Linked DNA regions of Notamacropus eugenii. The protein of the gene in region 3 binds, or shares a complex with, the protein of the main gene of each other region. Links are inferred from orthologs where the notes say so. Each region holds a gene or a part of one and is shown on either strand. Other genes may lie near its edges. The genes, in order: PIGP, PIGA, PIGH and PIGC.

Region 1 (7,325 bases), on a different chromosome or scaffold from region 3:
TTATATACAAAACTTATAATCAAGTCAATTTAATAACAATATTTTTAAATCACAAGTAATGTTAAGTTACTTCATATACTTTCCACACTGTTTAAAATTAAGAGACAAGATTTCCATTCTAATACAAATTTGCAGTGAATGTATTTCCTGAGCTCAAACTACAGTTCCATCATTGGAACTTGATACAAATACAAAAGAAATTTCAATATGTTCATTTAAATGTGCAAATGAAGAACTTTTACCAACCTTCAATTGGAAGTGATTAATATGCAACGTAATGACTTGCTAAAAGGCAACTATCAAGAATCTAACAGGATTACATAAATGTCTTCCAAGAGCCAAATATGTTAAACAGTATATATTCATAGGCTGATATCAGTATTTGGCAGTACCTATCTGTGTGAAAAGCCATTTTCAAAGATGAAATACATAAAATACCATTACAGATCAGCAATAACAAATAAACATCTGCAACTGATTCTGATGACAGGGAGTAATAGCTTTGAATTCCAATTATGTGAAATATCATCTCCCCTAGAAAAGAATTTCACTCTTCTCACTAGTTGATCTGTATTACAAAATAAACTAACTGTACATGTTATTATATTTTGAATTTCATCCATTAAAACTGTTTGTAAATTTGTTTTCTCATTATATAAATATCTACAGAATACTCTCAATTTGGCTATTGGCCCACAAAGTCAAAAATATTTACTATCTGGTCCTTTATAGAAAAAGTTTGTCAACTCTGATCTAGTCCACTGAAGCTTCATTTTTTTCCTCTATAGAATTATGCTGAGTTATGCCAGCTAAGTCATTTGTGGTTCTAAGTCTGATTTGGGGGCATCTCTAGAACAGGAACTTTTTTAATATTAATTTTACATTAGCTTCTTTGGGTTATCACTCTAGCTTTGTGCTAGGACCAGGGTTCTCCCCCCGCTGTACTCTTGGGTAGGCTCATTGACCTTCCTTGGTTTTATCCTTGTTCCTGAGTTAGTGTTAAATATCTATTTTCCAAGACTGGGACTGTCCCTCTTTGTCCCAGATCTTTGATGTTCAGACACTGGATCTTCAAGGCCCTCTACTGCTCCTCAGAACAGAATGTTATGAATCTTGGAGCCCACCTGGGGACTTTCTTGGGTGACCTCACTGCTTTCCCTGCTTCCAGACCAAGAGTCAAGCGGACTACATGTGACTGTGGCCCGGGTCTGGTTATTCTGGGAAGCTACTAACTTGTGGATGAGTTTTTTGGCTTTGTTAGTATCCTTTATTCCTATTGCCCTTGGGCTTCTGGCTGAATTTTTGTGCAGTTCTGGGATGAAAGAAATCACTCTAGTTTCTCATTGGATTTGATTATTTGGGGGTCTGATGTAAATTTTAGGCTTTTATTAGACAAGGTCAAGCATCCATCTTAGCTGGAATCCATTATTAATTTTTTTTTTAACAAAGATCTCTTTTATATTCACTGCTCCTCTACTGAACTCTTATAGAAGTGGCGCAGGGCTTTCACATGCTAACACATATAAGGCTAACACATCACAGACTCTACCTTCCCACCAAATAAAAGACATCTGCAGTCTGACATTTAGCTTAAGTTTGGAGAGCTTAAAACCAGGTTTTTAGCTAAAAAATCACCTTTCAGAGATTGTCCAAGAGAAATCAAAAAGCTGCAATATGAATCAGAGAATGAAGTATCAACCACAAAGAGAAAAAAAATTATAGATCCTATAAGTAGTGAAGTAAGCCTTCAGAGATCCAAATTCCACACTGAAAAGTGTTAAATAAGAACCTCTGGAAGTTCTTATGCTCCTGCAATAGTTCTGTAAATCCTGCAGCAACAGAATGCAAGTCCACAATAAGAGATCGCTGGAATCATTGCTTGAATATAGCTATCAAAAAAGTCAAGTACCAATCAAACACACAGTAATTTATCTCAGGGCTTAGATACAAGGGTAAAAAATACAAAGATAAAAATGAAGTAGTCCATACCATCAAATAACTTACAATTCTATCAAGGGAGATTGCAACAAAGTATATATGGGATGGGCCCCACCACAGCTGGGGAGGATCAGGAAAAACAAGCTAGGAAGTAGAACATGTCACTTGTCCTTTCTTCCTCTCACTCTTTTCTCCTATTGGGAATTTCTTATTTTGATCATTTCATCTGTTCTCATCAGAGAGGATCAATGATTTTAATAACTGGCTGATAAAAGGAAAAATGTGATTTCTTATAATGATTTGCCATATGAACCAAACTTCTCTTCTACATAAAGCTACTTTTAATTTCTACCCTCAACATACACCCTCACCAATAATGAGGTGAAGTAGACAAAATGTAGAAATTAGAACCAAGAAGACTTGGATTCCAATCTCACCATAGGCATTTAATAGCCTTGTGACCCTGGACATGTTAAACTTTTCTCAGCCCTGATTTCCTTATCTATAAAATGGCACTATAAAATGGCAATAATAACAGCACCTACCTGCAAAGGTTGTTGTGAGGACCAAACGAAACAATATAGGTTCAGTGTAAAGGACTATATAAATCCTACCTATTATTATCACCATCATCCTCCTCCCTTTTTAGTTTCCATCATCTCACACACTTGTTCTTTTTGGGCAGCTCCTTCCCTTTTTCAGCTTTCTCTTCAAAAGCACAGATGGCATCACAAATCACTCTGAATGACTTACACATTGGCTTTGAATATGAACTTTAAAATGCATTTGATTTTTTAAAAAAACTCACCTGTTCACAGCAAAGTTTAGTAATGCGAACATAACTGCTGCCAATTAAATCTGCCTCAGAGATGGAATTCTCCATTGCGCATGATCCTAAAGGCCAATAAAAACAAACTCCAAATCAGTAAACAATACAAATTATGAAAGTGAATCTTATCTTTGTCACAATCAAAACAACAATAGAAACAGCCACTCATTTTTACAGTTCCTGAAGTGGGTGGAGGGGAGTTTCAGTGAAAAAAAAACACTGGCTCTGGAGGCAGAAGATCCATGCTCAAATCTCAGCTCTGGGCTTCCAGTGAAACGAAAATATGAGAAATTGTAAAGGAAACCAGATTTTCCATATACACTCCAGTTAAGATCCAAAGAGCACCAGACTAAGAGAAATGCAGATCAAAATAACCTTCATCCTAATTCTTATCAAACTGGCAAAGATGACAAAGGACAGTCCATGCTGGAGGGACTGCAGAAACACCAAAATGCGTTGTTGGTGGAGCTGTGAACGGGTACTATTCTAGAAAGCTATTGAAAGTATCTGAAGAAAGTGATAAAAAAAGTTCACACCCTGGAATCCAGACACTTCACACCGGGCACCGCCCCCCGCCCCCCCCCCCCCCCCCCCCCCCCCCGATAAAGTCAAAGACGGAAAGAAGGGATCCATACAGGTCAACCACACAAATGTAATGGAAAACCACTTGGTTGTAGGATAAAGCGAAAACGTAAAGAAGCTCGCTCTGACGCAGAACACGACAGGAGCTCGATCAGGACCAGGAACTACCCGGGGCAGTCCTGCCCACCAAACAACTCCTCCGGGCACGTCCACAGGTGTGGAAGGGGGTCAGCTCGGCGCCTTAATCCCTTTTCCTTCCTAGGACACGGTGGTGGCAACGGCTCTCTGGAGGGGCAGGAGGGGCCCGGGAGGAGCCCAGGTGACGGACACCCAGGACGCAGTCACAGACCCGAGGGCCGGGGCCCAGGCGGGCCGGAGCCGGGCTGCAGGAGCGGGAGCCGCGGAGCCCAGCCCTCCCATCCCGCGGCCGGCCCCGGGGGGCTCCCGAGAGGGGCCCGGACGCGCCGGGAAAGGCCCTGCCGGGTCTCTCAGTATTCACCTGGGGGGAGCGGAGGTGGACGGGGAAGGGAGGGAGGCGAGCGGGGCCGGGGTGGAAATGGCAGCCGGGCTGGCCGCAGGCTTATTTCCTGTCAGCAGACGACCGGCCGGGGCACACAATAACAAGTGGCTGGGGAACACGGCGCTGGCAGCCTCCGATGGGGGGCGCGGATGACGGGCACGACGACGGAAAGAGCAGGTAGAAAGAACGCGCGTGCCACACACAAAGACATGCCGGACACACACACGCAGGGCACCTATCCACGCACGAAGGGTGTGTGCAGACACGCAAGTCAGACAACACTGGCTGCGGGAAGGCCACGGGCTGGCAGAGGCGAGAGACGCGCAGATGTACACGCATCCTTACACGGACACACGGACACACAGACACACGGACACACACTCACCGGACACGCCACGAGCGAGCTTTAATCCGCGTCCACGTCCAGAAGCAGGTCTCAGTCCGGAGGCAACCGTCAGGACCACGTCACTGACCTCCAGAGCGGGGAGGGAGAGCCGCGGACGGAGGAAGGAGGCCGGCCGTCACGTGAGCAGCGCGCAGGCGCGCCTGGCCCCGCCCCAGCGCCCGCTCTTCCTTCTCCCCCCTTCCTCCCCGCCCCCTCTGCCGCAATCCGCCCCGCCCCAGAATCCCGGCGCCCGGAGCAGAAAAGCCCCCCTCCCTCTCCTCCCCGGCCTCCTGGGTGGCACCTGCGCACACAGGTTTGGCCTAGAGCTTCCGAAGCCGGCAGGCAGGAAAACTGGTGCGTCACAGTGCAGAGAAAAGGGGCCCCCTGCTGTGATCTCGCCTCTCCCCCTCCGCGGCGGCGCCCCCGAACCCCCCCAGCCCCAACCCTGGAAGGAAAGGCAGGGTCCCCGGGAGAAAATGAAACGTGCCCTGGGCCCCCGTGTCCCTGCAGGTGCCCCAAAGAGGCGCAACCCCGGGGGAGCCCGGCTCCAGCCGCGGAGCCTCGCCCGAGATCCCCGCCGTACGTGGTCTGCGACGGGAGGACGAGCGGGGCGAGCCGAGGCGGTCCGGGGGAGGGGAAGGGCCGAGGGCGCACCCACGCTCTGCACGGGGTCAGTGGCGAGTGACCCGCTGTCTGGTGCTTCCCGCCCTCAGGTTCCCCAACGCTCCGGAGGCTATGGTGGAGAATTCCCCGTCCCCGCTGCCGGAGAGGGCCATCTACGGCTTCGTCCTGTTCCTGAGCTCCCAGTGCGGGTTCAGTAAGTACGGTTCCGACGGAGCGCCGGGTCCAGACCGGCCGGGAGGCTCCTCGGGGTGATACCGCGAGCTGGTGACACCCCGGGGTAGGGTCCAGCCTGCTGCACCTTGGTGTCACCTTAGGGTCTGTGGGGCACGGAGAGGGACGTGGAGATTGTGCCGTGCGGTGCTACCTGCGTGAGCCGCAGCCCCTGACCTCCGGGCCCCTTGTGTGGAGTGGGCTTGGGAACGTCTCATTTAGGGCATTCCCCTTCCCTGCGCATACCCGCCGCACCTAGCTGAGGCACTCACAGGAAGGCCAACGTGGATGGCCGGAGGATGCCCAGCCAACGTGGGGTGAACAGGCCCCTTCCTCCCTCCCTCCCTCCTCCTCCTCCCTCCCTCCCTCCTCCTCCCTCCCTCCCTCCTCCTCCCTCCCTCCCTCCTCCTCCCTCCCTCCCTCCCTCCTCCCTCCCTCCCTCCTCCTCCCTCCCTCCCTCCCTCCTCCCTCCCTCCCTCCTCCTCCCTCCCTCCCTCCTCCTCCTCCCTCCTCCTCCCTCCCTCCTCCTCCCTCCCTCCCTCCCTCCTCCCTCCCTCCCTCCTCCTCCCTCCCTCCCTCCCTCCCTCCTCCTCCCTCCCTCCCTCCCTCCTTCTCCCTTCCTCCCTCCCTCCTTCCTCCCTCCTTCCTCCTTCCTCCCTCCTCCCTCCCTCCCTCCCTCCCCCTCCCTTCCTCCTCCCTCCCTCCTCCTCCCTCCCTCCTCCCTCCCTCCTCCTCCTCCCTCCCTCCTCCTCCTCCCTCCCTCCTCCTCCTCCCTCCCTCCCTCCTCCTCCTCCCTCTCTCCCTCCTCCCTCCCTCCCTCCTCCTCCTCCCTCCCTCCCTCCTCCTCCCTCCCTCTCTCTCCCTCCTCCCTCCCTCTCTCCCTCCTCCCTCCCTCCCTCCCTCCCTTCCTCCCGTCCCTCCCCCCTCCCTTCCTCCCTCCCTCCCTCCTCCTCCCTCCCTCCCTCCCTCCTCCCTCCCTCCCTCCTCCTCCTCCCTCCTCCCTCCTCCTCCCTCCCTCCCTCCCTCCTCCCTCCCTCCCTCCTCCTCCTCCCTCCCTCCCTCCTCCTCCCTCCCTCTCTCCCTCCTCCCTCCCTCTCTCCCTCCTCCCTCCCTCCCTCCCTCCCTTCCTCCGTCCCTTCCTCCCTCCCTCCTTCCTCCTCCCTCCTTCCTCCCTCCCTCCTTCCTCCCCCCCTCCCCTCCCTCCCTTCCTCCCTTCCTCCCTTCCTCTCTTCCTTCCTCTCTTCCTTCCTCCCTCCCTCCCTTCCTTCCTTCCTCCTCCCTTCCTCCCTTCCTCCCTTCCTCTCTTCCTCCTTCCCTCCCTCCCTTCCTTCCTTCCTTTCTTCCTTCCTTTCTCTTTCTCTCTCCCTCTCTCCCTCCCTCTCTCCCCTCTCTCCCTCTCTCCCTCTCTCTGTCTCACTGTGTCTCTGTGTCTCTGTCTCTCTGTCTCTCTCTCTCTGTCTCTATCTCTGTCTCTGTGTCTCTGTCTCTGTGTGTGTGTGTCTCTCTCTCTCTGTCTCTCTGTCTCTGACTCTGTGTCTCTCTCTCCCTCTCTCTCCCTCTCTCTGTGTCTCTGTCTCTGTGTCTCTCTCTGTCTCTGTCTCTGTGTGTGTGTGTCTCTCTCTCTCTGTCTCTGTCTCTCTGTCTCTCTCTCTGTCTCTGACTCTGTCTCTCTCTCTCTCTCTCTCTCTCTCTGTCTCTCTCTCTGTCTCTGTCTCTGTCTCTCTCTCTCTCCTGGACCCTCCTGGCTTCAGAGTGATGATCAATAGTCATTGTTGCTCTGTGCAGCCCTCGCTCAAAACAAGTCATGTCATCATTTCTCTGATGACATGCTCTTTGAAAACGAAGGACGAACACAAACAAAACCTACCATGAGACATTTTGCATTACTGCTTAGAGGATTGATCCTGCCTCTCATGCATATTAGTTGAGGAAGCGGGTAAGTCACCTGCCTTCAGATTACCCCAGCAGCTTGCTGAGATCAACTACTGCTGATTTACTGATTTGCGGTAGTGCATTATGGCTAATTTCTAAACAGGGAGTTCCACACAGTGATGAAATCACATCTGGACCTGATAATATTTACAAAAACTAAATTGCAGACCTTTTCAGAAACATGTCAGTTCTGCAAAGTGAACCATAACTCTTTATAGACAGTGTTTGAAATCTGGGGTTATGGAGATCTCTAGTCTACAATCGAAAGTTTGCAATTTGAGCAGTTGCACAGCATTGACTAGTTG
Region 2 (7,780 bases), on a different chromosome or scaffold from region 3:
ACAGATAGGTGATGTAGTGGATAAACTGCCTGACCTGGAGTCAGGAAAACTCATCTTCCTGAGTTGAAATCTAGCCTCAGATAGTTCTTAGTTGCGTGACCCTGGACAAGTCACCTAACTCTGTTTGCCTCAGTTCCGCATTTGTAAAATGAACTGGAGAAGGAAATGGCAAACTACTCCAATATCTTAGTTAATACCTTTGCCAAGACTTAAATAGGGTCACCAAAAGTTGGGTACAAGTGAACAATTCCAGGTCCATTAATATAAATAATAATTTTTAAATGTATTTTATCTATATTTTTCCTTATCTCTCTATACTTTTTAAAAAATATATTTTAAATTTATCATCTGTTTTAGCATTCATTCTTTCTAAATGTGGGGTTCTAAATCTTCACCCTCCCTCTCACTCTTATATGACATCAATGTGAAATCACACAAAACATATTTCCATATGAGCCATATTTCAAACAAGAAAAATAAAGGGAGAAAATTATACTTTAATTTGCACTCAGAGTTCATCAGTTCTCTCTCTGTAGGTGGATAACATTTTTTCATCAAGTCTTTTGGAATTATCTTGGATCACTGTTACCATTCTAGCCATGTCTTTCAGAGCTGACTACCATTACAGCGCTGGTCTTACAATACACTATGATATGCCAATTCTTCTCATTTCACTTTCCATCATTTCATACAGTTCTTGCCATGTTTTTCTGAAACTACCAACGTCCTCCACCTCATCATTTCCCACAGCACAACAGTACTCCAACACAATCATATGCTACAACTTGTTTAGTCATTCCCCAACTCATGAGAATCCCTTTGATTTCCAATGCTTTACCACAAACAGAACTGCTATAAATATTTCTGGACATGTAGTTACTTTCCATTTTTCTTTGATCTCTTTTGGATACAGAACTTCTAATGGTATTGTTGGGTCAAAGGATATGCAGTTTTATAACTCTGAACATAGTTCCAAATTGTTTTCCAGAATAGTCTGCTCAGCGCACTAGTTCACCAATAGTTCATTACGGTATCTATTTTCCCTCATCCCCTCCAGCATTTATTACTTCTAAAAGATGTGAGGTGGTACCTCTATATATTAAACTTTAAAAGACATCCATTCCTTTCTAGAAAGGCTTCCACTCAGGCACACTAACTTGCCTCTGCATGATTGTAATCTTGGTAGTGCATTAATTAAACAAAAAAGGAGTCTAAATTATGTGATGGTTAGAGGCCCAGGGCCCATGGATGCAGTATGGAAAGCCAACCATACACATAATCATTTCATTTAATCAATGCCTCATGCTCCTTTTTACTCCTAGGTTGATTTAGTTATTTTTTCTTCTTTTGTTCATTAAAAGGGCCAAGAGCCATCCCCTGACTACTTCTTAAACAAACCTATTCACTCAATGGGCATTACCTCCCTCTAAGTGAGTACCTGAAAAGGCCTGCCTAATTAGGTCAAGGTCTCCTAATTGCATCCTGGGCCATCTCCAGTCTTCCTGAGGAGTATCTGTTCACGGGATCCAAGACAGCCCAGGAGAGGAAGTGAGGCTGGTGACCTGCACAGCCCTCCCTCACTGAAAACAAAGTCGAGTGCAAGTCATGTCATCATTTCTCTGATGGCATGGTCTTCTTCAAAAACGAAGGATGAACACAATAACTTTCAACAATTCCAACTATATTTTCAAACCTTATTTCTAAATGTTCTGGCCCATTCATCTGACCATTCTTCTATATAACGTGGAAAGATTTAAAGTTTAGAAAGTTAGGGCCTGCTCGTCCTCCTGTAGTTCCCACTTTTCAAAGCTACACCAGTCCCTGTTTCAGATAACAGGGATATCACGTCTACGTAACACTCGAGGGTTTGCAAAGCACTTTCCACCCAGATTTCTAAGGCGGATGGTGAATCAGCACCGTGACGTTCTTAAGTTAGACGGCTTGCTCAGGGTACCCTAGGTCCTGAGCGTGTGAGGGAGGATTCCCTAACTCCAAACGTTCTGATACAAACGCCTCCCCACAGTCCTCCTCGCCCCATCCCCAGAAAATAAAAAAAAGAACACATCTGCGAGGAATTCTGAGCTATTTTGTAAGGAGCTCCACGCCGTCTAACAAATCTCAGCGCAGGACCATCGTGACCTTCAATCTTTAACTTCCTGAGCAGCAGACGACCCAGCAGAAGCGCTGGGCAGGCACGGGCAGGGGGGGCGCGGAGGCCCCGAGGAGAAGTTACTTCCACCGAGCACCGCCGTCGGGGGGACAGTGGGGGCAAGAAAAGTGTACAGGAACCGTGAGTCTTCTCAAAGGCTCAGGAATCTCTACCAGGGGGCCCTGACTCCACGCTTCCCTTTAAAAAGGCCCCAATGGAGCTCAGAAGGACTGCCACGAAGCCCCATGGGGGGCCCACCTCCTCCCGGGGCTCGGGACCCTCCCGACTCCCACTTCCGGGCCGCCCTGGGGTCCGGACTGGATTGGCCCCCGGAGCCGCCCTCTCTCCCACCTCCCAATGCCCGATTCGGGGGCAAAGGCGAAGCTCGGCCTGAAGCTGCCAAGCACCTCAAGGCAGAGGGGTAGGAGGGAGAGGAAGGCGGCCGACAGACACTTACTCCACGAATGCCACAGCAGAGAGACGTCCAGCCCTCCCACGGCCACCGCCATGGCTCCGCCCACCCCCCGGGAAGGCGGGCAGCCGAGGCTTCCGAGACTCCGCCCCGCTAAAAACCAATCGTCACGCGGCCTTTGGGTCACGCGACTCCCGGGACGCGGCAGCCGAACCCTTTCTCCACCCCCTCGGAGGGCACCACGTGTCCCGGGGAAGGGTAAAGGGCAGGGTGATGACGTCATGGCGTGCTTTCGCCACCGCGGCTGCTGCTTTCTTGTAACTACCACAGCTACAAGAGGCGAATTAATCCTTCTCAAACCAAGGCCGCGTTATCCGTGTCTTGGAAATCTCTTGAGTGTCCTGGAGACTGTCCCTGATTTCTCCTAACACTTTTTCTGGAACTCCTCCTGCCGAGAGCAAGACTACAATCCCAGAGTGCTATGCAAGTACGCTTTGTGTTTTCTGGGAACTGTAGTTCAGCACTCGCTTGGCTCTGCAGCTGCTAGTTTAGACCTGTAAAAAACTACCAGTCCCAGTGTGCCTCGCGCTCCAAGTTCCTCCCTTCAGGGCGTAACCCGGCGTTGGCTCTAAGGCAGCTTCCCTGGAGCGTTGCCTAGTTACAGTTTTTTGTTTCTTGTTCAGTCCTAAACGTCAGCCCAGTTTAGGGCGAGCTTGAGAAGTGTCGATCAATAGAGGCTTATGGTAGATTAATAAACCCAGAGTGCCTTCGAGATCACAAAATCGGTCCACATCCATTTCTTTTTTTTTTTTTCAGTATGCTTTTTTTATTATTATTATTTTTTATTTTTATTTATTTATTTATTTTTTTATTAAATTTATTTATTTAACTTTTAACATTCATTTTCACAAAATTTTGGGTTACAAATTTTCTCCCCTTTTATCCCCTCCCCCCCCAAACACCAAGCATTCTAATTGCCCCTATCACCAATCTGCTCTCTCCTCTATCCTCCCTCTCTGCCCTTGTCTCCGTCTTCTCTTTTGTCCTGTAGGGCCGGATAGCTTTCTATACCCCTTTACCTGTATTTCTTATTTCCTAGTGGTAAGAACATTACAGTTGATCCTAACACTTTGAGTTCCAACTTCTTTACCTCCCTCCCTCTCCACCCCTTCCCTTTGGAAGGCAAGCAATTCAATATAGGCCAAATCTGTGTAGTTTTGCAAATGACTTCCATAATGGTTGTGTTGTATAGGACTAACTATATTTCCCTCCATCCTATCCTGCCCCCCATTACTTCTATTCTCTTTTAATCCTGTCCCTCCCCATGAGTGTCGACCTCGAATTGCACTCTCCTCCCCATGCCCTCCCTTCTATCATCCCCCCCACCCTGCTTATCCCCTTATCTCCCACTTTCCTGTATTGTGAGATAGGTTTTCCTACCAAAATGAGTGTGCATTTTATTCTTTCCTTTAGTGGAGTGTGATGAGAGTAAACTTCATGTTTTTCTCTTACCTCCCCTCTTTATCCCTCCACTAATAGGTCTTTTGCTTGCCTCTTTTATGAGAGATAATTTGCCCCATTCAATTTCTCCCTTTCTCCTCCCAATATATTTCTCTCTCACTTCTTGATTTCATTTTTTTTTAAGATATGATCCCATCCTCTTCAAATCACTCTGTGCACTCTGTCTCTATGTATGTGTGCGTGTGTGCATGTGTGTGTATGTACTCCCACCCAGTACCCAGATACTGAAATGTTTCAAGAGTTACAAATATTGTCTTTCCATGTAGGAATGTAAACAGTTCAGCTTTAGTAAGTCCCTTATGACTTCTCTTTGCTGTTCACCTTTTCATGGTTCTCTTCATTCTTGTGTTTGAAGGTCAAATTTTCTTTTCAGCTCTGGTCTTTTCACCAAGAAAATTTGAAAATCCTCTATTTCATTGAAAGACCAATTTTTCCCCTGCAGTATTATACTCAGTTTTGCTGGGTAGGTCACATCCATTTCTAAATAAATTATGCAATAATGACGTCCCATTCATTCACCAAGACGACCCTTCAGTTCCTAGAGGACCATTCAGGGCTGGGAACTTAGAACCAGACTCTTCCTAAAAGAGTAGCAAGGTGAGGATGGACCCCTAGTAACACCAGACTGGAATATCTCTATCTGCATTTCGCGTTAGTGGTGATCTCCACAACGCCTTCATTAGAGCGAAGGCTGCATGGGGACTCAGGTGCCCCTGTCCCGTCTGTCTCCCCCTCCCCTCCCTTCTCCTCTCCAAAGGAAGGTACGTTTGGGTGGCCAGAGGATGCCCAGGGAACTTGGGCTAACTGGCTCGATCCTTCCCTTCCCTTCCCCCTCCCCTTAAACCTGCTCTGAAGCCCACAGATTGTAACACACGAGACCACTGCCCCAGCTCCACTTAAGGGCTGTTTTCTAGACCCTCCTGACTTAAGACTGGTATCAGTGGGAACTGTTGCTGTTTTCCTCCCAGCCTGAGGTAGTTATTTTTTCTTTGCCTTATTAAAGGGGCCATCCCCTGACTACAGGCCTGTTCACTGACTGGGTGTTACCTCACCCTTGACTGCATTCTCGGCCATCTCCAGCCGTCCTGATGAATATCTGGTCACTGGACCCAGATGGCTCAGGAGGAGAAAGTGAGGCTGGTGACCTTGCAGAGCCCTCCTTTACTCAAAAGGAAGTCAAGTGCAAGTCATGTCATCGTTTCTCCAATGGTATGGTCTTCTTGCACAACAAAGGATGAATGCAGAGTAATTGATGCCACCATGGGATGAGCTGGAATGAGAAACCAATCTTCAGCAACATCCTTGGAACAGCTCCTTTCAGGGTCTCTTTAGTTACCATAAAGGTTGCCTCAGTATACAAAACCACTTGGAATATTTATGGAGTAGTAATGGGTGACTGCTTTCCTACACCAAAAAGTCTGAAAGACAATTTTTCTCCCTAAATAATTTTTATTTTTTTTACATGAGAAATTTTACTTGGCAAACACCAAGTAAAAGCAGCATTTCTGTATACAAAGTAGGGCAGTAAAAGAGGATTGCGTTTAAATTTCTGTTATACACAGCTTGCTTTTGTTATTGCTGTTGATTATAGTCTTGTTTTCCCCCTAAGGACTGCATGCCAGAAGTTTTGGGTTATTATCTCATTATTGTTACTTTTTTTGATGTCATTATCAATTGTTTCTCTGATTTGTTCTTTGAGCCCCCCTTCCCTCAAGTTTTTGTTGATTATAATTTTTATTTCATCTTAGACAGTAAAGGTCTGATAATTCAGCTTTTCTGCATTTGTTTATGAAGCTTCTGTTAAGGGGTCCCCTGAACTTGGCTTTTTGAGTTGCCATTTTTTCGAGTCACTACATCTGGAGCGCAGGAAGACCTGAATGTGTCAAGGAGGAAACCCTACCCTCGTGACATAATTTGTTGTTTGCACCCAAACTGGATTCCCTGTGTGTCCTTGGGAAGCAAGACAGTATGTATCACCCTGGGAAAAATGCTTGTGCACCTGAGGTCCTTTGCAGAGATAAGCAGACCCTCCTGTCTTCATAGTCAAGCAGTTCCCAAGGGAAAAGAATTGGACTTTCACCATTTCCTTGGTCCTGCCCTTTTTACTGTACCTTTCCCCTCCCTTACCATGCCCCTTCCTGTTTTCTCTTCCCCTTTGTTGTACTCTCATAAATATGCAAAATTCTGCAAGGACTATGACCTCTTTGGGTTTCACATGCATGTTCATTTCTCCTGCAATAACCCTAGTTTTCACATAAGTCTTCTGATGTTGTGATTGCCTATTGACATTTCTGTGCCCTAATGTGGGCTGGCACAGTGGATAGAGTGCCCAACTTAGAGTCAGGAAGATTCAGCTTTCTAAGTTCAAAACTGGCCTCAGACATTTACTAGCTTTGTGGCCCTGTGCAAATCACATAACCCTATTTGCCTCAATTCTTCATCTATAAACCAAGAAGGAAATGGCAAATCATTCCATTATCTTTTCCAAGAAAACTCCAAATGGGATCATAAAGAGTCAGACATGATTGAAACAAGTGAAAAACAAGTGGTCTAATATATGCAATGTTTTTGTAAAGGTGCTAAGCTCGGTTGAGAAAGATGTAAATTTCTTTTTAATCCCATTAAGTAATTGTTAGACATCTATCATACTTTACTGTTATAAAATTCTATCAGGTTCTAACGTTTTTGGAAGTTATCTTTTTTTTTAGATCTTTTTTCTTTTTGGTTTAGGTCTGAAAGTGGGTCATTGAGATCTCCAACTATTATAATTTTACTGTCTTTTTCTCCCTATAATTTATTAACTTTCTATTTTCACTTTAGTCTCTGGTTCTAAAAATTCTGTGCAGTTCTTATTGATTACTTCTTGGTATCCAAGCTTTTTGGGGGGTGCAGGAGTGGGAATCAGCACAGTTATGGAAAGCCATGACTTTTAGGAAATTTGATGATTCTTAAATTATCTTTACTTGACCAGTTTTGAGATCAGCTGTTTTGATCTTATTACATTTCATACATTCTCTACTATCTTTTCAATTATTTATTTTGTTCCAGTACTTCTTAATTTCTCATAGTCATTAATTTCAACTTGGTTCATTTAAATTTCATGAAGTCTGTTACTTGGTGGGTGGGAAAAGTGTTCTGCAGGGCCTCCTCCACATATTTTTCCTTAAAAAATATTGGAATCATCTTTAAGGTTTAGTTTAGGGACAAAAGTCCTGGACTTGGTATAACTTCCTGGTGAGCTAAGTACAAAAATCAGCAGGAACTGGACCCCAAAGAGAGGCAAGAAAACTACATGCAACTGAGTCAGTGATCTATATTGGCTGCCCTGCTTTTAATATCCTCCTTCTGCTATAACTAATTAAACCTCCTTTTGTTAATTGTCAGAATTCTACAAAGCTTTCATTTTGTTCCAGTCTTCATCTCAAGTGTCCTAACCAGCATAAGTGAAGCCTGGCCTATTATGCTTGGGTTGGGTTTACCACTTACTGTTCTAAGTCACATATTCTCTTGATATGCCTTTCCTCCAAAGATCTTATTTCATTTATAATTTCATCTTTTAACTCTTCCTTCATTTCTTCTAGGAACCCTTGTAGACCTTGTGGATGAGCAGTTTTTTTCTCTAAGTCTCTACTTCTACTCGTGGAGTTTGTTTCTTCTTCTATATTAGACTTTTGGGTATTTCTGGGACAACAATACTT
Region 3 (7,998 bases):
GGTTGTCATATCTCCTTTTACAAGAGAGTTTTTCCACTAGTAGGCAGTTTTGCTTATGACAGAATCAGAATTTCAGAGCCAGAAAGGTACTTGGTAGATGTCTAGTCCAACCAGTACTTAAAAAACAGTTCCCGTTATAGCAGTATTTTCTTTATGTCAGAAATCATTTTCCTCTGGAGATGAATGGAGGAAGAAGCAGAAATTTTCTTTTTAAAAGAATTGTCCCTTTTATTATTATGAACGTCACAAACATCAATAAACATGAACATTTGCCTCTATAGAGAATAGAAAAAAACTGTATAAAAACATGAATCCCCATGAAACACAGCTTATTTTTTGTAATATTTCACTTAAAAATATGGCTTCTACATAGTTCTAACACTGCCCTACTTGTCTGTGCCCTCTTCTGAACATCTTTCTGCTCTTATTTTTTTAATGATTCATTGCTCTTTTCTTTCTTCATTTTAATATCACTCTGTCCACATTGCTCCATTCCTGCCCCTACCTAAAATGTTCCTTTATAACTAGTCACACAAAACAAATCCACACTTTGGCCATGCCTGAAAATGTCCCATGCATCATTTCTAAGTCCATCACCTCCTTCCCAAGAGTGGGTAGTATACTTCATCATTAGCCTAACAGAGTCCTAACTGATCAGAGTTAAGTGTCTATCAGTCTTAAATCTTTCAAAGTTGTTTTTCTTTACAATGTTATAATTATAAAAATTATTCATCTGGTTCTGTTCAATTCACTCTGCATGTTTACATAATTCTTTTTTTTTTTGAAAATAAGTCTCTTTTGTCATTTCTAAAGAAGCAATATGTTCATACACCATAATTTTGTTAGCAATTCCCCAAGTTACTACAATCTCCTGTCCCCCTCCCCCCGGTTATTTTCAATTATGAAAAAATGCATTTTTTTTTTTTTTTAGGGCAGCTAGGTAGCACAGTGGATAGAGTGCCTGGTCTGAAGTTCAGAAGACTCATCTTCCTTAAGTTCAAATCTGGCCTCAGACACTCACTAGCTATGTGACCCTGAGCAAGTCACTTAGCTCAGTTTGTCTCACATCCTCATCTATAAAATGAGCTGGAGAAGGAAATGGCAAACTAAGCCAGTATCTTAACGGTTTAGAGATAGGCATTAACATTGCTTAACAGTTTACAGATAGGCATCAAGGATCCAGTTAGATAACTGAGGCTGTATTTCACAATATGCCAAATATTGGAAGTGCTTGTGGTATAGTGAAAACATCACTCCGGATTCTAGTCCCGGTTCTGCCACTTAAGTAGCTGTGTGACCTTGAACAAGTTGCTTTTTTTAGGGCCTCAGATTTCTCATCTGGAAATGAGAGGGTTGGTACAAATGGTGTTTCTAGTTCTAACATTGTAGGTATATGTTTGGTTTCTAATTAATATTCCTCCAGAATCTTATTTCCTGGTCATTTGTGTTTTAGAAGAGTCATCTCTTTTGAGATGACATTTATTTCTGTACCCTGAGTAAAAAAAAAAAACAACAACAAAAAAACACCCCTTTGAGACAACTGCTAACCAGTTTTTTTTGGTTCATAATTGTGAATTTAAAATACAGTCTTAATAAGCAATAATATATTTGTACATGTGATACATCTTCTTCGATCTGCTTAGGGATTTTAAGATTAGTAATGATATTATTAGTGGTTTAAAGTGTAAATTTTGGGGTACAGCTCCAATTCCAAACTGCCTTCCAAAATGGTTTTAACACTTCACAACTTTAGTGCATTAGTGTGCCTGTCCCTCCAACAATTGTTATTTGTCATTTTTGCCAATCTAATGAAGGTGTGGTAGAATCTCATTATTTTTTCTGAGGCTTTGCTTGTAGTTATTGTTGGGTTACTCTTTTGGGTTTACCTCTTGGGTTTCTCTCAACCCACAGTATTTCTTACAATGTGTTTTTGTTTTTTATCCTCAGTCCTTGGACTGTGATTTTTGTGCTTGGGTCAATCCCTTCTGACACTCTTAAATAGGTTAGGTACCATTCTCTCTTTTGAATGCTGCCACTGCTGCAGATGATGTGTCTGGTATACAGCACAATCTTTTGCCTCAATTCTTGACTTAGTCCATTGTAGATTCTGGTCTGGTCAGGTTCTACTTTGTCCTTCCGTGATCCCCAATCAATAGTTGGTTCTCTCCTGTCAGACTCTGACAGACTTGAGTGGGTTATTGAAGATCACGTTGGCATCAGGCTTCATGCACAGTCCTTTTGGCATTAGCGTTCAGGACCTGAATTGGCCCCATTTTTTGCTATGGCCCCCAATGCTTTAAGTAATATACAACTAGGTCCTGTGTCCTTGGGCAGTAGCTTAAGGACATTCTGTCCCTCTGCTACTATTCTACCCTGCCAGGGTAAGGATATAGCTTTAGGTTTACAATGTCTGGAGCTCTTGAGCTGGCTTGTAAGTCGCTGTTGAGAATTGTGGCAGGTTTCAAGTCCCTTTTTGGTTGCTTGTGAAGGCTTTCCTGGTGGAGCTCTTCTTAACACTTCTGAAGACTTCTACATTTACCTGAGCCCACTTTCTTTCCTGACTACCTCTATTGGCTTTTATTAGTTCTTGGCTATCTTTTTGTGACATTCTAGTCTAGGTGGAAAAATTCTGTTTCTTGTTTTATCATTGGTATTTCTGGGATCTTTAGGCTTTTTGTGGGATTCTCTACAACCTTTCCCACTCCTGTCTTTTAACTAGAAATGTCAAAAAATGAGGATTTTCAAACATATTTGGCCATAAAAATGACTGCTGGCTCCAGTAGCACTATTAAAATTTGGCTTTGTCATAAATGGCATAAAAATGCCATGTAAGTTTTTTGACATACTTGAGGCATATGTTCATTACATCAGGGTATGACTACAAAGGGGGCTCTAAAGCTCCCTTTGGGGATAATGAGACTAATATACTTCTGGGCACTGGTGGGGAGGAAGGATTTTTAAACAGGACCTGAACTTGGTCGCTACTAGTCTTCTTGTCTGGTACATCAGTCATTTTTCTCTTCCATGGAGAGGTAGGAATTTTCTTAGAGATGAGTTATGAAAACACTTGCTATCTCCTGAATTGTTATGTCTTTCCGTAAATGATCTAGTTCTCTGGTGTACCTGAGCCATTTTTCTCTTAGCAGAGGAGGGCTATGAAGGGACCTTCTGGCATAAGGAGACTGGTTTGCAGGTTTCTTTGATGATTATCAGCAGTATTAGGTAAAGGAATCTTTGGGAGCCAATGCTGTTTCCAGCGGAAAATCGCTGTCATCATGGAGATTTCAGTCTAGCTGAAGACTTGGTGGCTAAGGTATGAAATGGTGGCACCCCATGAACAGGACATGATCAGGCCTGGTCAAGCAGGAGAAACATCATTACCCTCATTGACACACTGCTTCCAGGTCTGAAGAAAGAAGAAAACTCAAGAGGCAAGAGGGTGTTTTTCTATGCTACTTCTCTACTTTTATCTTTAACCCTTAACACCTGCTTTAGAATGTTGCACACAGTAGGCCCCAATAAATTTTTGTTGTTGATTACTGTTAAACTCAACTGAGTAAGGAGTTGGATATGTCCTTCGATTATCAGTTACATTGACTTTTGCACTTGAAGAAATCTGTTTACTACAAAGATCTTCTGAAAAAATACCGATCTCTTGCTGCTCTATATAAGTTGCCCTCTTGTACCCTCCAGGAAGCTTTATAGTATAGTGTAGTTTAAGTTTTTAAAAGATCTCAGAATGTTCGCTGTTTAGATCTTGTTACCTCCTATCCTCTAGTTGGGGCCCAAGGAAGTGGCAAGTAGATGAATTTTAATAAGGAGCCAGATTTTATAAGAGAACCTGAGATGCTAGGATTTAACTGAGAAGAGGTTTTAAAGATTTTTTTTCAGCATCATTTATGCTTGAGAAGTAAACATTCACTCTTTTCAAAAAAAAGTACCTTCACTAATAAAACTGCATTTTAAATTCACAATTATGAACCAAAAAAACTGGTTAGCAGTTTTCTCAAAGGGGTGTTTTGTTTGTTTGTTTTTTATTCATGGTACAGAAATAGACACGTCATCTCAAAAGAGATGACTCTTGTAAAACACAAATGACCAGGAAATAAGATTCTGGAGGAATATTAATTAGAAACCAAACATATACCTACAATGTTAGAACTAGAAACACCATTTGTACCAACCCTCTCATTTCCAGATGAGAAATCTGAGGCCCTAAAAAAAGCAACTTGTTCAAGGTCACGGAGCTACTTAAGTGGCAGAACCAGGACTAGAATCCGGAGTGATGTTTCCACTATACCACAAGCACTTCCAATATTTGCATATTGTGAAATACAGCCTCAGTTATCTAACTGGATCCTTGATGCCTATCTGTAAACTGTCAGCTCTGCCAGACAGGCCCTCCGTCCAAGTTATTTGTTTGGTAGGCATACAGCCTTCAGGTCTACACTGATTTTGGATGGAAAACAAGAAATCCGAGGGCAGTTTGTGTTGGGCGCCTCATCTGCTGCGGGTGGCAGGCCAAGGTCAATATACTTGACCATTCTCCCCATCAGCGGTGGCTCTGCCAATCTGCGCATGGCAGCTCCACTCACCATTTCTACGGCTGGGCATCTACTACTGAAAAGACGCCTCCTGAGGAGCACGTTAAGAACGTGTCAGCCCCAGTGTCGACAGCGGTATTCCCAGGCCAAGCTCCTTCCTGAGTCCGGGCTTCCTCTCCCCCTTCTCCGGGGCTCCGCGCGTCGGCCTCCGGCTGCGGCCCCTCCACCTCAGGCTGGGGCGGCGGGAGCTTGCGCAAAGCCCGCACCCTCACATACCTCGTAGGCGGTGGGGCAGTTCTGAAGTCTGGCGGTTTCCGCAGACCGAGGCCGAGAGGCGGCCGCCTTCGCTTTGCCCCCGGGTAACCCAAGGAAACGGAAGTGGAGGCCTCTGAGGGCACGTCACACCCGCAAAAACCCTTAGCTACCTTCCCGGCATAAATTACTGCGAAGAATCGCGAGACAAGGGAGGAGGCGGGACCGAACGTCCCCTCCTCCCCCCGCGGCCTGTTTCCGGAAGTGCGTAATGGCGATGGGCGTGGCCCTGCCGCGGGCTTGTAGAGCGCTGGGCTGCGGGCCATGGAGGAGCAGCGCAGCTTCTCGGACATCGACGGCGGCCGCCTGGCTCTCCAGCGCCGCTACTACTCCCCCTCCTGCCGGGAGTTCTGCCTCGGCTGCCCGAGGCTCTCGCTGCGCTCGCTCACCGCCGCCACCTGCACAGTGTGGCTGGTAGCCTACGGGCTCTTCACTCTCTGCCAGGTACGGGCCCTGCCCTCCCCGCCGGCCGGGGCTGCCGGGCCTGCCGGGCCTGGGCTCCCGACCGCTTCCCTTTGCCTCGGCTTCCTCCTCTGTAAAATGAGGAGCAGGCAATAGTTGTGAAGGCTTAGCCCTATATAAACGTCAGTTGTTACCGTCATGATCTAGGCCGTGTCCCTCGTGACATCTGTATCTATATGCCATAAATGGGAGTTCATCCCAGAGGGAAGGGCCTGGGGAGGGTGGATGGGGGGGGCCTTTCTCGCCCCTTGCAGGGGATGGAACGCTGACGTTGGGAATAAGGAGGAAAACTCTAAGCTTGAAATAAGGTGTGTCACGGAGGTAACTGGGAACTTTACATCTGTTATCCTGTGAACTGCCCAAGTGTATTTCTGAAGCACAGGTCTGTATATTTAACAGCCCTCTCAGAAAGCTTTCCATTGCCTTCATTAAAAAAAAAAAAAAAACCCTTTTTATTACCTCTTTAATTGACCGTGTTACAAAGCTAGCTGACATTCCATTCTGTCACCAGCTTATAATTATAAAAAGACTTACACCTGCTTGAGCCTGTACTGCCCAGGGCATAATTAGCAGGTAATAATTATTGGCATCTCCTTCTCCCTTGTTTTGACAAGCTCCCTATGAAAGCAGTGTGCAACATTCTGGATGAAGGCGAATTCACTTCACCACATGTTGGAGGCAAAGGTGATTTTGTCTTTGACAAGCCTCCATCGTCCAGATGCTTTATCTTGTATGTTCTGACAAGTCATTGAGAAGTAGGAGCTATCATATGTCAGAAGCACATCGGAATATGCTGCTTCTAGGACATCAAGCTTAAAATCTTGGTTACTGATCTAGCATTTCTGGCCCTATCAAAGCCGTGGATAGATTGGGCTGCTCGGCTTTAGTGAAGACCTGTCCAAAGCAGTAGTAACAAATTTTGTACAAGAGGACTGGACAGCAGTGGGGAGCTTTCCCAGTCCCTTCCATTGCCTTTAAAACAAAATATAAACTTCCATTTGACATTTACAGCCCTTCACAATCTGGTTCCAGTCTCTTTCCAGATTTACATATTTACTCCACTTACTACCATCTAGCCAAACTGGGCTACTTGCTGTTTCTGAAATGAGATACTGCACCTCTAGTCCCCGTTGCTTTACACAAGCCGTCCTCTGTGCCTGGAACATTACTTTCTCAAGGCCTCCTCTCAGAGTTCCTTCCTCCCTTGAAAACTCAGATCAAGTGCCACTTCCTACATCAGACGTTGCCTGATTTCCAGCCACCTTCCTTCAAATTAGCTCATATTTGTTTGATCTACATTTTGTATTTCCTTATGTGATCCTGTGTTGTTTTCCTTCATAAAATCTAGGCAGACTCCTTGAGGACAAGGATTGTTTTGCTTTTTTCATTGTATTCCCAACATCTGGCATAGTGGATCTTACTAAATGCTTGTTGATTGATTCTGGTACAACATAGAATAAGTTTATACCCTTTTCTACTGGACCATCCTTTAAGTGTTTGGAGACAGCTATTATAATGCTTCTCATTTTTATTCTTCCTGAGGCCAAAGTAGCCTGTTCTATGATGTGTAGTTTTCTGACCTGCCTCCATGCTGGTCACCTCTTCTCCCCCAACTCTCCATGTCTTAGTTATCTACTATGTGTCTGACTTAGGCAGCTGCCTAGGACTGATTTATTTGCTGAGGCTCATAGAGAGGTTAACGACTTCTCCTGTGTCACACAGATAGGTATTAATTTCAAACCCAGCCCTTTGGCCTCATCTGTTAATATCTATATCTAACATGTAGTACTTTAAGGTTTGTGAGGCATTTTACATGTATTATCTTATTTGTCCCTCACAACAGCCTTGCAGGATAGGTGCTGTTATCCATTTTACAGATGGGGAAAGTGAGGCTGAGAGAAATTAAGTGACTTTTTGCCCAGTGTCACAGAGCTACTAACAACCAACCACAGGCAAGATTGGACCCCAGGTCTTCCTAATTCCAAGTCTAGCATTCTGTCTTCTTTGTCACCTTGTTTGCATGACTCAATAACTCCATTTGGTTCATGAAAATCAAACATAATACTCCAAATGTGACTGAATACCATTACTACCTGTGTAATGTTGGGCAATTTACTTAGGCTCATGAGGTTTCATTCAGTTTCTTCATCTGTAAAACTATGTGTTTAGATAATCTCCAAAGCTCCTTATACCTTTAAATCCCATGACTTACTTTCTGTAATATGAATATTATACTTTAATACAAGCTAAGGTTGTGTTACCTCTTTTAGCCATGCCTTATTTAAAAAACTTAAGCACTGTGGATGCAGAATTAGGCATTTTCTTAGACTGTGTTCCAAAAGCTCAGTAGAAAGTAAGTTTAAAGCCCATTGACTTTTTAAAAGAAATTGACATAATGTGTTATGTGGTGGTAAGATTCTCAGACTTACTACAAAAACTACTTAACCTATATTGTAATTCTACTTGCCTGAATTCTAAGTCCTGGGACCATATAGATAAATAGTTTTTCTTTTCTTTCCTGATCAGGACCAGCTCTAAACAACATTTTGAAACAGGCAAAATTATCTTTGTTTCCCTTCTACCTTCCCTTCTAAAACCCAATGTGCTTTTCTTTCCGACTCACCAGTGCTGCCTTAAGCTTCATTCATTGTAATCACTATGTGATAGGACAGTTCCTGCT
Region 4 (7,411 bases), on a different chromosome or scaffold from region 3:
CTTTACAACATGACTAATGTGAAAATGTCTAATATGAATGTATATGTAGAGCCTATATCAGATTGCATGCCATTTGGTGTGGGATGAAGGAAGGTTATAATTCCTCTGTACTCTACACATTTGGGATATTGAGTTTTGTTTGGTACAATGTAGGCAGCTAAGGGCTACAGTGGAAAAAGAGACTGCATTTGGAGTCAGAAATACACTTGAATTCAAATCTGGCTTCAGACACTTGTACTAGTTTGTGTGACCCTGCGTGAGTCACTTGACCTCTATCAGTCTTAGTTTCCTCATATGCAATTTGTGATAATATAGCACCTACCTCATAGGATTCTTGTGAGGATCAAAAGAGATAATAAATGAAAAGTGCTTTGCAAACCTTAAAGCCCTTTATCAATGTAACGATTATTACGTTTTAAGAGGAGCATTGATAAGCTAGAGCATGTTCAGGCAATGATAAACTGGTAGGGTAAATGAGGGCCTTATAAAAGCATGTTAAATAAAGAATTGAAAGAACTGGGGTGCTTAAACTGTAAGAAGAGAAAGATTGGAAAAGAGGTGAGTGGGATAGGATAGTTATCCTCAGATATTTGAAGGGCTATCATGTGGAGTTATTAGATTGATTCTATGTGGGTCCAGAGGGAGGAATTAGAATTAGTGAATGGCAATTACAAAGAGGCAGATTTTCACTTGATAGAAAGGAAGGGCTTTCTAACAGTAAAAGCTACCTGACAATGGAATGTTTTGGCTTCCTACCTCAGTATGGAGTGAGTTCCCTGTCTCTGGAGGTGATCAATCAGAGGCTAGACAATCATTTACTAGTGCTATTTTAGAAGGGATTAATGAATCTCCCTGGGGGTTTATGATGTGAAGTTCTTTTTCAACTCTAGAATTCTATGTTTCCAGGATTCTGATACCAACGATAGTGTCACAACACCACAAAGTGCCATGACATGATTGGGAAAGAGTTCCTTAAGGGAAGAACAGTTTCCCAACACCTTAGTGGCTTCCAAATATTTCAAGGGACATTGTGAAATTCTATTTAAATCTTCCAATCAAAAAGATGTTTTTTTTTAATTCAACAAAGAAGTTTAAGTGCTTGGAAACTTGGAGGTGGAGTGGAAAGAAAGAGAGAGATAGAAAGAGAAGGAAGGAGAGGGAGAGAGAGAGAGGGAGAGCGAGAGGTAGAGGGAGAGGGAGAGGGAGAGGGAGAGGGAGAGATATTTTCATAAAATCAAACATGTCAAAATCTAATAAATTTGGAAATCATGGTTCAAGACTGTAATGAAAAGCTTGCAGTTAACTAACCAGGAAGAAGGAGGACATCCTGAAATATTTCAGGGACAGGAATTTGCTTCTGGAGACACAATGGTAAAGAGAGTGGTAAAGAGAGGGGAAGGCCGGTGGGTTTCAGCTTCCCCAATTTATCCTCTTACAGAGATCTGTCACCACTCCTACCATTTGTCTGAAAATACTGGCCAATCAGTTTGTATTCCCAGGTCAAAGAACCAGCCAGCCACATCTTAGCTTCACTCCCTCAGCATGTGCTTACAGAATCAGGTGCCAATGATTCTAGGTGAACCTGCAGATTTAGATACCTAGTGCTTTTAAGCTGGACAAAACAAACATTTCTAGCACAGAATAGCAAATGGGAATTTAGAACCCAGATCAAGAAATTCTGACCCAGTGACAAAATTCCAGATTCTCCATAACTCTCACTGGTCTATGGCAATGTTTCCCAAGCCAATTTGGCCACGAAGACATTTGAGTTTTGAAATACATCACAGAATCCATAAATGCTGGCCCAGGCTATGGTATAAATTGAGGAACAAGGTATGTCAAAGAATTTGGGGAGCAAAACAGAGGAATTTAAACCTATTCCCATGCTGAAAAATATAATAAACAATGAAATAAATAATTTTGATATATATATACACTTTCACATTTAACATTTAATATGAAAAAATTTTACCTTATAGCATTCATTTTATATATTTCAATTTGTAATGATATATTTTAAATATTTCATATTTAATATTTTAGAAATAAGGGTTCTCACTGAAACATTATTTATGACCTACAGAATATTAGAGTCCTCCCAGAAAATTTGGGAATCACTAATCTACTAGATATTTCTCTCCTCCAAGATGTTTTTGCCACTGTGCTAAATAACAGTTGAAAATGCTGGCTCGGTCATCTCCTGATTACTACAGCCTTGGAAGCTTCCTTAGGTGACCTTGAAACTTCAGTTCTTTAGTGGCTGAGTTTGTTACCTTTTTCGAAGAGTGATGAGCAAGGGTTTGTTTCCCACCAAGTAGGGAAAGGTATTTCTTGTGTCATACTTTATGATGGGGATTTTGAAAGGAACCTGGAGAGGAAGAAGGAAACCTAGTAAATTTTCACAACTCATTACATTAAATCATAATAGATCCCATTCCTGTCTTATTTTGAAGCTTACAAAGTGATTTCCTCCCAATAACTCTGTAAGGTAGTATTTTACAGATAAGAAACCGAGATTAGGAGAGATTAAGAGTATGTCCAGGGTTAACCTGCTTCCTAAAGAGGGGCCAGGAATGGATCTCAGGTCTTTCTGAATTCCAAGCCTATTGCTGCATGTCACTGGTCCTTCTCTTCCCATTAAACCAACAACCACTGGTACTCTATTGCCTCTAGAATCCAATCCAAACCCTCAGTTTGGTGCTCAAAGTCCTTCTAACCACTGACTCCCCACCACTTTTCTTACACCTAACTCCTTGCTGGTGTTTTTCAAGTCAGTGACACTGGCCTTCTGGCTGTTTCATGAGTAAGATACTCCACTTCTTGGTTCCTGGCATTTTCTCCGGCTGTCCTCCATGTTCCATGCCTGGAACACTCCCTCTCCTCTGCTCTCTCTCTTGGCTCCCCTGGCATCCTTAAAGTCCCAACTAAAAATCTCATCTTCTATAGGAAGACCCTCCCAATGCCTCTGAAGTCTAGTGCCTTCCCTTTGTTAATTATTTCTTTTGCATCCTGTATACACCTGTTTGTACATATTTGTACAAAAACACATTTTGTTGTCTTTCCCATTAGATTATGATCACTTCAAAGGCAGGGAGAGTCTTTTGCCTCTTTTCCTATGCGTAGGGCTTGGCACAGCGCCTGGCACATAGTAAGTACTGATTGACTGACCAACTAACTCGCCAGTTGTGTTAGACTAAAGTCCTAACCCTCGTCAAGATAACTTATTGTAGCCACCAAAAAAAGTGGGCTGGTTTGGGGGAGAAGACCTGGGTCTGAACCTTGGCTTTGCCATTTACTACAAGTAAATCATTTACCATCCCTGGCTTCAGCTTCCTTCCCAGTAAAATGAGAAAGTTAGACTAGATGACACCAAGGACTCTCTCTCAGCAGTTTCCAGCCCTCTGCCACCATGAAAAGAACTGCTACAAATGTTTTTATATAGACAAGAAATATAGATACATTGTTTCTCGAATCTGTTTGGGTGAGGTCAGAAAGCACGCAGTCTGGCAGCTGTGGGGCAGACGCGTTCACGTCCTCTGTTCTCCCAGTCTCTACAGCGTCTGTCCTCTCCTTTTCTAGGGTCAGCTCTGACAGTCTGAGGGTTTAATGCGCATTTTTGTATTAGTGACGGGGTGTTTGTTCATATGGCTGTTGACAGCTTCGATTTCTTCCCCCGAAAACTGCCTAGTTGTCTACACTGCGACCGTGAAGTGGGGGCACCGCATGCCGTAGAGATGGGCACGACCTTGGAGAGCTCCGCAAGCCTTGAACCCATCCATCCCCGCAGAACCCCTGCTGCCCACACACTCACAAGCGCTCTCTCTTTCCGTGGGAAACGCGCCTGTTTTATGGTCCCCACAGGAGGCAGTGTGCTACCGTGGCCCTGGGTTCGAGTCCTGTTTCCGTGACTTACTACTTAGTATGACGTTGGGCCAGGGGATCTTAAACCGGGGGGGGGGCCTTGATTTCCCCCCATTACTTAACAAGAGTATTTAAACGATTCTCTGGTTAAGGACCCCACAGGCTTCGGCCGACCGTCCGGGGGGTCCCAGGCAAACTCCTCCTCCTCCTCCCCTCCGATTCCGGGGTTCGAGCCTCGGTAAAAGCCCCAGGTGCACAGGAAGCCCTCGGCGGCCCCTCGCAGCGCCGCGGTCTGTCCTCATTGAAAGTGAGTGTCTACGCAGTGCGGGTGTAGACAGGGTGTAGACAGCGAATACGTGGTGTCCACACCGCCTAACTGTGTGGCAAAGATGTCTGGGCACTTTTCAGGTCACACTTAGCGACTCCACCAAAGCTTAAAGCTCCGCCGAGCCTCTCGGGGCAGGCCGGGGAGACGCGGGGTGCGGCACCCACGGAGCGTGCGCGCGATCTCCCCCGTCAGAACGCGAGGTCCTCGAGGGCACAGTTAGGCCTGCCCTTCCCTCGCTCCGCCACCAGGGGGCGAAGAGGGCGCATCCCTGAGGCCGCCGCGCCAAAGGAGGCCCCGGCCGCGGTTGCGCAGTCGGCGCGAGGGCCGTCCCAGGAAGGAGTTGGGAGGACGTGGCTTTGACCGTGACCGAGGGGAGGAGCCTCCGCCGGGCCCTACAGGTAGCGGGGTGGGGTCGGCGTCTCCGTGCCCCCCATCACTGCTGGCCCCGAGGGTGGGGGTTGGGCGGCAGGGGGGGCGAGGGTCGTCTACCTGGGGTGAGGACGTCAAATGATGGTTGGGGCCGGGGACCCCAGACTTCCGCCTCCAGGCCATTGGTCCTCTCTGCTTATTTTACGGTGTCGGGAAAACTGAGGCCCGGGGGAGCGAGTCCAGTCACCCCCAGAGTCCGCCCGCCTGACGTCTTAAAGGGCCCATGCTCTTTGGAGACTCCGCTCTAACCCTCCCTTCTGCGGAGACCTCCCTCCCTCCCACTTTTCCCCCCCTTCTCGTGACGTTCCATTGACCCCCGGTTCGATTCGTTTGGGATCTCCCGAGTTCGGGCGCTTGAGGCCCTTGGGAGCGCGGGATCGGGTGGGGGTGGGGCCCTGTCCCTTCAGTTCTCCCTCTTGGGTGTAGCCCTGGACTACTCTGCCCTGCGCCACACCGCCCCCTAGAGGCCCCCTCGTAGCGGCCCCCTGGCCCTGCTGTGCCCTGCGCCACACCGCCCCCTAGAGGCCCCCTCGTAGCGGCCCCCTGGCCCTGCTGTGCCCTGCGCCACACCGCCCCCTAGAGGCCCCCTCGTAGCGGCCCCCTGGCCCTGCTGTGCCCTGCGCCACACCGCCCCCTAGAGGCCCCCTCGTAGCGGCCCCCTGGCCCTGCTGTGCCCTGCGCCACACCGCCCCCTAGAGGCCCCCTCGTAGCGGCCCCCTGGCCCTGCTGTGCCCTGCGCCACACCGCCCCCTAGAGGCCCCCTCGTAGCGGCCCCCTGGCCCTGCTGTGCCCTGCGCCACACCGCCCCCTAGAGGCCCCCTCGTAGCGGCCCCCTGGCCCTGCTGTGCCCTGCGCCACACCGCCCCCTAGAGGCTCGGACCCCGCCGCCCAAGAACCCCCGGACACGAGCCCTTTGGGGCTTTCGGAGGGCGAGGCGCTGAGCGATTGATGCATCTGTCTCCTTTCACAGAGGAGGACACGAGGCTCTCCGAAGTTAGTGGCTGGTTTACAGTGTGTGAGAGCCGGGCGTGTAAGGAGCAGGTAGGTGGGAGGCTGTTCGGGAGAGACCTCAGACAGCTTGGTAGGCACATCTTTCATGAGAATAAGGTGTGGGCGCCTTGCCTTGGATTACTGCATTTTAGACATGCTCGATAAGTCATTCCAAGGCCGTTTGAAATTCATCTCAGGTTTTTAAAAGAGTCCTCTGCTTTCAGTAGGTTATGCTGAGCATCCTGTTAATGCTTGCTGGGGGCATTTGGCCCTAGAGTCGGAAAGACTCATCTTCCTAAGTTCAGATCTGGCCTCAGACACTAGCTGTGTGACCCTGGGCGAGTCATTTCCCCCTGTTTGCCTCAGTTTCCTCATCTGTAAAATGAGCTGGAGAAGGAAATGGCAAACCACTGAAATATCTTTGCCAAGAAAACCCAAATGGGGTCATGAAGAGTCAGACGCCTGAACACTTCCATTATGTTTAAGCTTATTTGTGTTGGCTCCTGCTCTTGTTACTACCCTAGGATTTGGGGATTGTAGATTTAGAACTGGAGGGTATCTTAGAAGTAGGGATATACTGGTTAGTGTTTAACAACTGACTTTCCAAAAAAAAAAGTATGCATGGCACACTTTTAAGCTTAATCTGCATTGTTAACCGTATCTCCATCACTTTCTAATGTCTAATCAGACTACAAAACAAATTAAGTTCTAACTTGTAGTATTTCTCCATTTCCAAGGTCGTGCTGAGAGTTTAACAACCAGCTCTCCTAGGCCAGAGTGAGCTGGCTCTAGCACATCCATGCTTTCTTTGAAGTCCTGCATTTGGCATTTTATATATGATGAAACTGATCCACATTCACATATATAATAAGAGACAGGTCTGGATTCAAACCCAGGCCCTCTGACTCTCAAGTCTAAGGTTTTGGTTTTTTGCCCTAGTTGCCTCCCTACTGAACTATTCAAGTTGGAGTAGTACATATTCCCGGGGTGAGAGCAGGTTTTAATGACATTTACCCTCCTAGGTTAGGGAGCAGAACCTACCAGAACTCTGAGCACCTCATTTGAGGTCAAGTGAGAAATTCATGGAGTCCTAGGTTCTTAGAGATGGAATGGACCTTGAAGGTCACTCATCCTCATGCCCATGTTATATAGAAGAAACTGAATGGTTAATAGATACTGAATAATAACCTGAATGGTTATATACCTAATTGTAGGCAGAGATAAGGCCAGAACCCAGATATCCTTATTTTTAGACCTACCTGACTGCCCTAATTAGAGTGATTCTATCATTGTAGTATGTGGCAGTGGACCTGAATGTGGAACACTGGGTGATGATGCCCCCTTCTCTGCCACACTCTGGGAGTTCTGAGCCCTTGCTACAACATGAAGAAGTTTGCCTCGGGGTCTCCAGTTTGCTGCCACTGATGATGTCAAAGATATTCCCCCGGCATATTCCCCCAGCATCTGAGCAATAAGCTATTTTAAGGTGTCATTCCTGTTTGGATATAGAGCCCCAGGAAAGTTTCAGATCCTTAGTTTCTCTATCTGTTAAATGGGACTAACAGTACCTTCACAGGAATATTGCAGATATGAAAGGGTCATAACTATTTTTAAAAAGAAAAGAAAGAATCTCTGACTCAGTTGACAGATGAATATTCTTTGGCCCTGTCCTGAGCAAAATGTCTTATCTTTATATGGCTTATAACCCTACTAGATTATAATATCTTACCAAAGTTTGGTTGCTTTCCTAGCACCTAACACATGGTAGGTGAGGAATTAATATTAGTTAAAAGGAAAAGGATC

The links.
Region 1: PIGH (region 3) and PIGP share a complex: the UniProt entries of both Homo sapiens proteins name them as parts of the glycosylphosphatidylinositol-N-acetylglucosaminyltransferase (GPI-GnT) complex. The link is inferred for Notamacropus eugenii from reciprocal best matches to the Homo sapiens genes PIGH and PIGP.
Region 2: PIGH (region 3) and PIGA share a complex: the UniProt entries of both Homo sapiens proteins name them as parts of the glycosylphosphatidylinositol-N-acetylglucosaminyltransferase (GPI-GnT) complex. The link is inferred for Notamacropus eugenii from reciprocal best matches to the Homo sapiens genes PIGH and PIGA.
Region 4: PIGH (region 3) and PIGC share a complex: the UniProt entries of both Homo sapiens proteins name them as parts of the glycosylphosphatidylinositol-N-acetylglucosaminyltransferase (GPI-GnT) complex. The link is inferred for Notamacropus eugenii from reciprocal best matches to the Homo sapiens genes PIGH and PIGC.

Annotation. Positions count from the first base shown.
Region 1 is NC_092876.1:420,370,352-420,377,676, reverse strand, and holds the start of PIGP (phosphatidylinositol N-acetylglucosaminyltransferase subunit P), read left to right. Parts: upstream 1-4,305; 5' UTR 4,306-4,394; intron 4,395-4,440; exon of another isoform or gene 4,441-4,608; intron 4,609-4,756; exon of another isoform or gene 4,757-4,967; 5' UTR 4,968-4,989; coding exon 4,990-5,071; intron 5,072-7,325. Other genes in the region: E3 ubiquitin-protein ligase TTC3, read right to left, coding at 2,747-2,821. UniProt on the Homo sapiens protein: Part of the glycosylphosphatidylinositol-N-acetylglucosaminyltransferase (GPI-GnT) complex that catalyzes the transfer of N-acetylglucosamine from UDP-N-acetylglucosamine to phosphatidylinositol and participates in the first step of GPI biosynthesis.
Region 2 is NC_092876.1:374,805,776-374,813,555, reverse strand, and holds the start of PIGA (phosphatidylinositol N-acetylglucosaminyltransferase subunit A), read right to left. Parts: upstream 3,035-7,780; 5' UTR 2,607-3,034; exon of another isoform or gene 1,439-2,606; intron 1-1,438. UniProt on the Homo sapiens protein: Catalytic subunit of the glycosylphosphatidylinositol-N-acetylglucosaminyltransferase (GPI-GnT) complex that catalyzes the transfer of N-acetylglucosamine from UDP-N-acetylglucosamine to phosphatidylinositol and participates in the first step of GPI biosynthesis.
Region 3 is NC_092872.1:312,546,732-312,554,729, forward strand, and holds the start of PIGH (phosphatidylinositol N-acetylglucosaminyltransferase subunit H), read left to right. Parts: upstream 1-4,990; 5' UTR 4,991-5,120; coding exon 5,121-5,300; intron 5,301-7,998. UniProt on the Homo sapiens protein: Part of the glycosylphosphatidylinositol-N-acetylglucosaminyltransferase (GPI-GnT) complex that catalyzes the transfer of N-acetylglucosamine from UDP-N-acetylglucosamine to phosphatidylinositol and participates in the first step of GPI biosynthesis.
Region 4 is NC_092873.1:473,945,500-473,952,910, forward strand, and holds the start of PIGC (phosphatidylinositol N-acetylglucosaminyltransferase subunit C), read left to right. Parts: upstream 1-4,406; 5' UTR 4,407-4,587; intron 4,588-4,678; coding exon of another isoform or gene 4,679-4,741; exon of another isoform or gene 4,742-5,098; intron 5,099-5,588; 5' UTR 5,589-5,659; intron 5,660-7,411. Other genes in the region: C2H1orf105 (uncharacterized protein C1orf105 homolog), read right to left, coding at 2,274-2,340. UniProt on the Homo sapiens protein: Part of the glycosylphosphatidylinositol-N-acetylglucosaminyltransferase (GPI-GnT) complex that catalyzes the transfer of N-acetylglucosamine from UDP-N-acetylglucosamine to phosphatidylinositol and participates in the first step of GPI biosynthesis.